Neurospora crassa OR74A: one gene and its partner. The main gene of each other region encodes a partner of the protein of the gene in region 2 in a complex. Links are inferred from orthologs where the notes say so. Each region holds a gene or a part of one and is shown on either strand. Other genes may lie near its edges.

Region 1 (3,589 bases), on a different chromosome or scaffold from region 2:
CCGAGGCATGATGAAGACTGGCATACAAAAGGAGGAATGAACAGAAAGCAGGTAGAGGAGCAAGGTGAACTGGTGAAGCACTGGAAAGACGAATTGAATGGGATGTCTGCCAGGAGGAAGAGCCCGCCGAGGGATGGAGCCCCGCACGCAGTCTGAAATCAATCCAGCAACTTCATGGATGACGGTTGGTCACGAGGGGACAGCCGCAGCAGGCAAAAACATCAGGACGAAGAAAGAGCATCTGGATGAGGCAGGACTATGAGTGGCGTTCTCGTCCCGAAGGCCCGGATGTGAAATCATCGCCCGTAACTCTTATCCGAAGTACGGGCTACCGAGTGAGATACGGCTGGGTGCTGGGAGCAGGGTAGCTTACCCCTTTTTCGGCCATGTCAAGTAAACAAACAAACAAACAAACAAACAGTGTCATTTCTTACTAGCAGCGAAACACCTAGCAGGGATCAAGAGACGTCATCCTGAAAAGGTGCTAGGCGCCTTAAAAGCTCGGAAGCTTCTTTCCGCGTGTGACGATGCTACTCCCTCAAAATCCTCAAATACCTCGTTTCATCTTGATATCCAGGAGCTTGGCCTCACTGCCCGAATCTAGCTATCCCCATCCGCTCACTCTTCTCTACCAAGTTCCATATCTCCCTAAACCCCCATGACCCCCATTTACACCGGACAACAAAACGAACGCGCCGGCTAAAGGAAATGATAATGCATTGTCAGCTGTACAGTATTTACACACCAACCCAAGTGTTAAGCGCCCCAAAGCATTCCAATGCCACCACTGTCCTTTCCCCCGATCCTCACAGACTCGTTTGACATGGCCGATATCCGAGAGAACGAAGGATGAGTCTACCCCTGAGCACCAATAAAAGTATGCGAAACTTATGCGCTGGCAGAGGGAGACTGAACGTGGCCCTTGCCGTTGTAGCCTTCGGAGGTGAGACCAGTGAGGGGGTCGGACTTCTGGGCCTGTTTGTTGGTGATATATGTGTTAGTTGATCTGGTTGCCAACAAAGAGCCGATATGAGCCGACGCACCTTGAGGAACTCGTTGGTAGCCTCTTGCCACTCCTTGGTCATGGTGGCAGGAGGGGGCTTGGCGAAGGCGCGCATGGTAGCGAAGATGACGAAAGAGAGGAAGACACCGGCGACAGTGTAGGCCAAGACCTTCTTCTGCTCGCCGGGAGGGGGGAGAGCGCGGGGGCCGTGGGGACCGAAGGCGATGTAGTAGGCTGCGTTGAGAGAGAGTACATGTCAGTCTTTCTGTGGTCTGGGCCTGCGTGTCTCTTGAGACGACCTTGATGGCTGTCATGGTGCGGTTTGTCGTCGGAGCTTCCCTCCTCTTCTCCTCCAATGTAGCGCACCATTACTCCCTCAGCCTTCTCCCAGCGTCCCCCAACAACCCATCAATCAACCGATAACCTCTAGGCCGACAAGATCCATTTCCGCCCAACGATCCCAAAGCTGTCCGGGAGCTCGTGAAGCTTGTTTGAAGCTCGGGGTTGTCGCAGAGTGAGGGTGACGGGGGGGAGCTTCAAGGCGGGCGTTGGTGATGCAACTAGCTCGGAGCTTGGACGGTCGAGCTCCACCCGGCATTTCGCCAACCTTCAACCTTCCACTTCTCACTTACCAGCCTTCTTCTCCTGGAGGGTAAGGTCGGCCCAGTTGCCCTTCATGCGGTCGCGGAGAGCCATCCAGAGCTCGGCCTGCTCCTGCATGGGCATCTGCTCCCATCTCTTCTCAATGTTGGCAAGCGTGGGGTTGGAGATGGGCATGGTGGAAGCGGCGCGGACGGCCATGGTGGGCTTGGCGGCGCGAACGGCGACGTTGCGCACGAGGGCCGAGACGGTAGGAGTGCGAAGCATGGTGGCGGCGGATTGTCGGCTGACAGAGATTAGGAAGTTGAGGAGGATTCGAAGTCGGGGGTGGAGATGGATCCAATTGAGTCGCCCGCGTGCGTGGTCGGAGGCCTGGAGCTCGATCGTCGACGGTGATTTTGTGCGAGGAGTGAAGTCATGCAAAGGACGAGCTTTTTTTTGGGCGAACGGGATTCGCAGGTAGGCGAAACGGGGATGCGGCCTCAGCTCGGAACTCGAGGAATGCCTGGGATGGCCTGATGCCCACTTTGCTCACCCCGAACGCAGTGCCCGCCAGTGAAAACACCCCCAAACCAGAGCGCTATGAGACTCGCTGTCACAGTTTACCTAGCTTGGGGCCCCGTATCTTCCCGGGAGCCAACTCACGGCAGGCTGACCAGGGCCGCCTGGCAAGTGGTGAACGGGCAGCTTTTGCGTGTCTGGCGCTCAGAAACGGAGCCCCTCACCTGGCAATTCCACACTCTTGACAGCTGGCACGGACCGCCTTCAGTTTCCACACCATGGACGTTTTGTCCTTGGGCTGACTGGAGTGTCCATTGTTCATTGTTGACTTTTGGATGACGACGATTCGATTCTCTGGCAGCTGAAAAACGGAACTCACATGCCAGACGTCACTGTCTCACAAAGTTTATTGTTTGCTTGTCCGGAGTGGGAGACACGACAGGGTCTTTAGACAGATTAAAGCCTTGCAGAGAGATATTTCATGTCATGTTATCCGCAATGAGTACAGTAAACGCGGCAGAACGAAAATGAAGCCTTGGATGCTTCGTTTCAAACGAATTGCTGTCATGAGTTTCGAGAAAACAAAAAGAGGGACAGCTATGCACCGACATATCCCTCCAAATATATATATATAACTCATGCCTTGGTCGATGGTATGATCACGATACCTAGTTGTTACTCTACTCCATGCTAGCATCCTACATCTCATTCTCTTTTCTCCCACTCTTGCTTCCTAATCTCATATGGAGAGGGCTTGGCCGGGGGACTGGTGTCATGTTAGTCTATCCAGTCTTAACCGCACTTGATTGTTTCAAGCTCATCTTCTCACCCAAGGTTTAGGCCTTCACGCTTCTCCTTCTCCGCCCGGAGACTGGGGGCAAATGTGTAGTATCCTGCAGAGACGTCAGACTTTATTCTTCCAATCACAAGCACATGCAACCAAAGAGCCCGGACCATTCACGATGCCAAAGGTTACTACCAAACCAATGGTGATGATCTTTTTGCCGTTGAGCATCTTGACTTTTTGTTGCTGTTGTTGATTTTTTTATGTCTTGGCTGATGATCGCCACTCAGTTGACCGGATTGAATATCAGCTTCGATAGTATATTCGATCTGGACCTTCACTCAGTTCGAGAACACTTCAGCGTTTCGTTGGGTCCGTCCCTGTAAACGGCAACAACGGTGCTGTACAGGGCAGTACTGTACTGTAGTGTAGCATAATCTGCACAGCTCCATTCCGCCGCCCGCCCGGATGCCATGTGCACTGTCTGTTTAACCCCGGTCCAGTGCATGCAAGCAATGACGCGGAGGCAATTGGAAATCATTAAACACAGCTAAGTAGCGCACAGACCACATTTTCTCCGACGGCGCGTCTCCCAGTGTTTGTGGACGCGTCTCAACCTTGAAAGCACTGCACGTTGCCTGCCCGGACGACCAGCCATTCGCCTCCTACATTCAGGTTTGCATGCCAACGGCCCACGCCGA
Region 2 (3,857 bases):
GAGGCGAGCTTCGCTTAATTTTTTTTTTAGCCGTCCCCCCGCCCTGCAGTACTGCAGGGGGGGGGTGGAGGGAAACGGAGGAGGCCGTAAATAATTATTTGATCTTAGCAAGGGATCAGGATTACGATGTAAATGGTTTACCCTTTGACTGCAAATCTTAAGGATTAGGTTCGATTCCTACGTAATCCTTTAGGGTTAGCCTATAGCCAATTTTTTTGAGGCTAGCTTAATTTTTTTTAGCCGTCCCCCCGCCCTGCAGTACTGCAGGGGGGGGAAGCTAAAAAAAATAAGCGCCAGCCCAAAAAAAAATGAAGCAAGCTGCCCGCAAATTTAATAAATTTACTAACTATCTTAATGAAAAAAAAAAAATAATTCTATAAGGGGAGTAATTATCTGTATTTAGGGCTTAAATAATATGGGGGTAGTACATAATAATAATATTTAAGCACTAAAACATATATTTGTTTTTGTTTTTAAAAATATATGATAAAAAGACGCCTCGCGGCTCGATTTATTATTTGTATGTAAAATAAATTTAGGTTTAGTTTAGTTTGGAGGCGAGCTTCGCTAGCCCCTAAAATATACAAACTAAATCTTCTCTTGTAGGCTACAAAGGAATATAAGATACTAAGTAGTATCTTAACTGATGTTGTAGAAAAGGCGGAGTGATTCTGAGGCAAGCTTCGCCCGCCTTAACAAAATATGTATTATGAAGAAATAAACCGGTAAAGAAATATTTCTTTTTTTTTTTATATACACTACCTACATATTTTGGAGGCGAGCTTCGCTTAATTTTTTTAGCCGTCCCCCCGCCCTGCAGTACTGCAGGGGGGGAAGCTAAAAAATAATTGCCTCCCAAAATATTTTTAATATTTTGGTTAAATAATAAGATAAGTCTTCATTTTCTCGCGTAGCGGAGGCTCTCCTAACAAACCCCCCGCAAGCTTGCGGGGGTTTAGAAGTGGGAGCAAAATGAATTATAATAATAACTTGTGCGCTCCTCCAAAGGCGCTCATCCACTCTTCACAATCCCCCTTCCCCCCCCTGCAGTACTGCAGGGCGGGGGGACGGGGGGATATGTGGATAAGGGTAGCGAGAAAAGTTAATTTACTACATGAGGCTAATGGAATATTGGATAGCTGACTTAATATAGCAAGGCACTTCGTTGGTTCTAATACTGATTTAGCCGTGATTCCGCCTTTTTTTTTTTTTTTTTTTTTTTTAAAAAAAAAAAAAAAAAGAAAGTCCACAAAACATTGAAAGGCTAGTGTGTTTTTTAGTAAGTCAGTCAATCACCTACGTAGGTGATCCAGAATTACGTTACCGGGGATATTCTGTTGGTCGGTTTACAGAATATCCTGGTTAGCATTGATTGTATAATCAATAAGATGTTGTAATCTTATTTTATTTTTATTTATAAGATACGTAACCATTATAATAAAAACCATTATATTATTTAATCAATTAAATAGTGAGGAGTTTGGGCTCTCTTTAAATTCAAGTAAAAGAAGTGTCGGGTTAATGTCGTCAATTTCGATTTGAACTGAAAGATGATTTTTATCAACGAATGCTAAAGATATAGGAGTTCTTTATCTAATCTTTGCGCTATTTTCTGGGTTACTTGGAACAGCATTTTCTGTTTTAATAAGAATGGAGTTAAGCGGACCTGGGGTGCAGTACATTGCAGATAATCAATTATACAATGCTATAATAACTGCACATGCGATCTTAATGATTTTCTTTATGGTTATGCCAGCATTAATAGGTGGATTTGGTAATTTCTTGTTACCATTATTAGTAGGGGGTCCTGACATGGCATTCCCAAGACTTAATAATATTAGTTTCTGACTGTTACCACCAAGTTTACTATTATTAGTATTCTCTGCATGTATAGAAGGTGGAGCAGGTACAGGATGAACAATTTATCCTCCTTTATCAGGTGTACAAAGTCATAGTGGACCTAGTGTAGATTTGGCTATCTTTGCCCTACATTTATCAGGAGTTAGTTCCTTATTAGGGTCTATTAATTTCATAACTACAATAGTAAATATGAGAACACCAGGAATTAGATTGCACAAATTAGCTTTATTTGGATGAGCTGTAGTTATTACAGCTGTATTATTATTACTATCTCTCCCCGTGTTGGCCGGTGCAATTACTATGCTATTAACAGATAGAAATTTTAATACATCATTCTTTGAAACAGCTGGTGGTGGTGATCCTATTTTATTCCAACATCTTTTCTGATTCTTCGGGCATCCTGAGGTTTACATTTTAATTATACCTGGTTTTGGTATAATAAGTACAACAATATCAGCTTATTCTAATAAATCAGTATTCGGTTATATTGGTATGGTCTACGCCATGATGTCTATTGGAATATTAGGATTTATTGTTTGAAGTCATCATATGTATACAGTTGGTTTAGACGTGGATACAAGAGCGTATTTCACAGCAGCTACATTAATTATTGCAGTTCCTACAGGAATTAAAATATTCTCATGATTAGCTACATGTTATGGAGGTTCTATTAGATTAACTCCTTCTATGTTATTTGCTTTAGGTTTTGTATTTATGTTCACAATTGGGGGATTAAGTGGAGTTGTTTTAGCGAATGCATCTTTAGATATAGCATTCCACGATACTTATTACGTAGTTGCTCATTTTCACTATGTATTAAGTATGGGTGCTGTATTTGCAATGTTTAGCGGATGATATCACTGAGTACCTAAAATATTAGGTTTAAATTATAATATGGTGTTATCTAAAGCTCAATTCTGACTTTTATTCATAGGGGTTAATTTAACATTCTTCCCTCAACATTTCTTAGGTTTACAAGGTATGCCAAGAAGAATAAGTGATTACCCTGACGCATTTTCAGGTTGAAATTTAATAAGTAGTTTTGGGTCAATCGTAAGTGTAGTAGCTTCTTGATTATTCTTATATATTGTGTATATACAACTAGTTCAAGGAGAATACGCAGGTAGATATCCATGATCAATCCCACAATTCTATACTGATAGTTTACGTGCTCTTTTAAATAGAAGTTATCCTAGTTTAGAATGATCTATAAGTAGCCCACCTAAACCTCATTCATTCGTGAGTCTTCCATTACAATCTTCATCATTTTTTTTATCATTTTTTAGATTATCATCATATGGGGAACAAAAAGAAATCAGTGGGAGGCAAAATTAATTTTCTTGAACTTTTAACTTTCATCCAATTTTTAACTCATAAACTAACTTTAACACCACCAAAACCTCACCTTTTTGTGACCTCAAATTTACAAGCATCTATTTGGAACTGACCTTCTAAATCTCGTATTACTGAAATATCTAAAGCCATCTGAATGAATATGATTAAGAAGTTTAAAATATTTATTTTTTTTGCTCTACCTACTATGTTAATAGTTAAAGGTATATATATTTGTTATGATCAGGAGATATGAACTCTGGTATTTTTTACTCAAAATTTGGTAAAAAATTTCCCTTTTTTTGGCTTAAGATTATTTAATATGATTTGAGTAGAGTCCAATTTAGGAGTAGAAGCGTCCAATTTAGGAGTAGAAGCTCCTAAAGCTTCTTCAATATTTTTAGATCTTCATCTTTGAACCTTGATGTACCTATTTGGTAGTTTAGCTAGAATTTTTGGAGAACTATATTATAGTGATTTTGAATTACCTGCGGGTGTAGGTGGTGAGTCTTGTGAAAAAAAAACACCATCTCCACGTGGACCTTTAACTTTATATAAAAAAGGTTCAGACTCAGGTGCATCAGGAGGTTCAGATTCACCTCCATCTGCAAAAGGAAATTCAGGTGCAAGCTCAGGTCCTAATCAAGACCGATTAGCACCAGAAA

What was found.
Region 1: the proteins of NCU16016 (region 2) and cya-4 are in contact, whole or in part, in a cryo-EM structure (PDB 8Q1B), measured with the Schizosaccharomyces pombe proteins. The link is inferred for Neurospora crassa OR74A from reciprocal best matches to the Schizosaccharomyces pombe genes cox1 and cox5. Residues at the interface, in YP_011104928.1 of Schizosaccharomyces pombe: Met44, Ser47, Ala48, Pro49, Ser51, Gln52, Phe53, Trp340, Ser341, Arg342, Glu414, Thr415, Ser418, Ile419, Trp422, Ile423, Ile426, Ala453, Val455, Gly456, Phe459, Ser462, Ile463, Val466, Ile467, Leu470, Ile496, Pro497, Ser498, Tyr499; in NP_588158.2 of Schizosaccharomyces pombe: Tyr71, Ile92, Ala93, Phe94, Gly95, His97, Pro99, Arg100, Phe102, Ser103, Ile105, Gln107, Thr109, Val110, Gly113, Thr114, Gly117, Leu118, Ile120, Gly121, Leu124, Phe125, Ile128, Arg129, Gln131, Ala132, Ala133, Pro136, Thr138, Met139.

The regions. Positions count from the first base shown.
Region 1 is NC_026502.1:1,656,287-1,659,875, forward strand, and holds cya-4 (cytochrome c oxidase subunit IV), read right to left. Parts: upstream 2,012-3,589; 5' UTR 1,871-2,011; coding exon 1,636-1,870; intron 1,238-1,635; coding exon 1,044-1,237; intron 976-1,043; coding exon 889-975; 3' UTR 700-888; downstream 1-699. Other genes in the region: NCU16537 (hypothetical protein), read right to left, coding at 2,810-2,870, 2,934-2,997, 3,059-3,119. UniProt on the Schizosaccharomyces pombe protein: Component of the cytochrome c oxidase, the last enzyme in the mitochondrial electron transport chain which drives oxidative phosphorylation.
Region 2 is NC_026614.1:37,747-41,603, forward strand, and holds NCU16016 (cytochrome c oxidase subunit 1), read left to right. Parts: upstream 1-1,521; coding exon 1,522-3,195; downstream 3,196-3,857. Other genes in the region: NCU16017 (hypothetical protein), read left to right, coding at 3,158-3,857.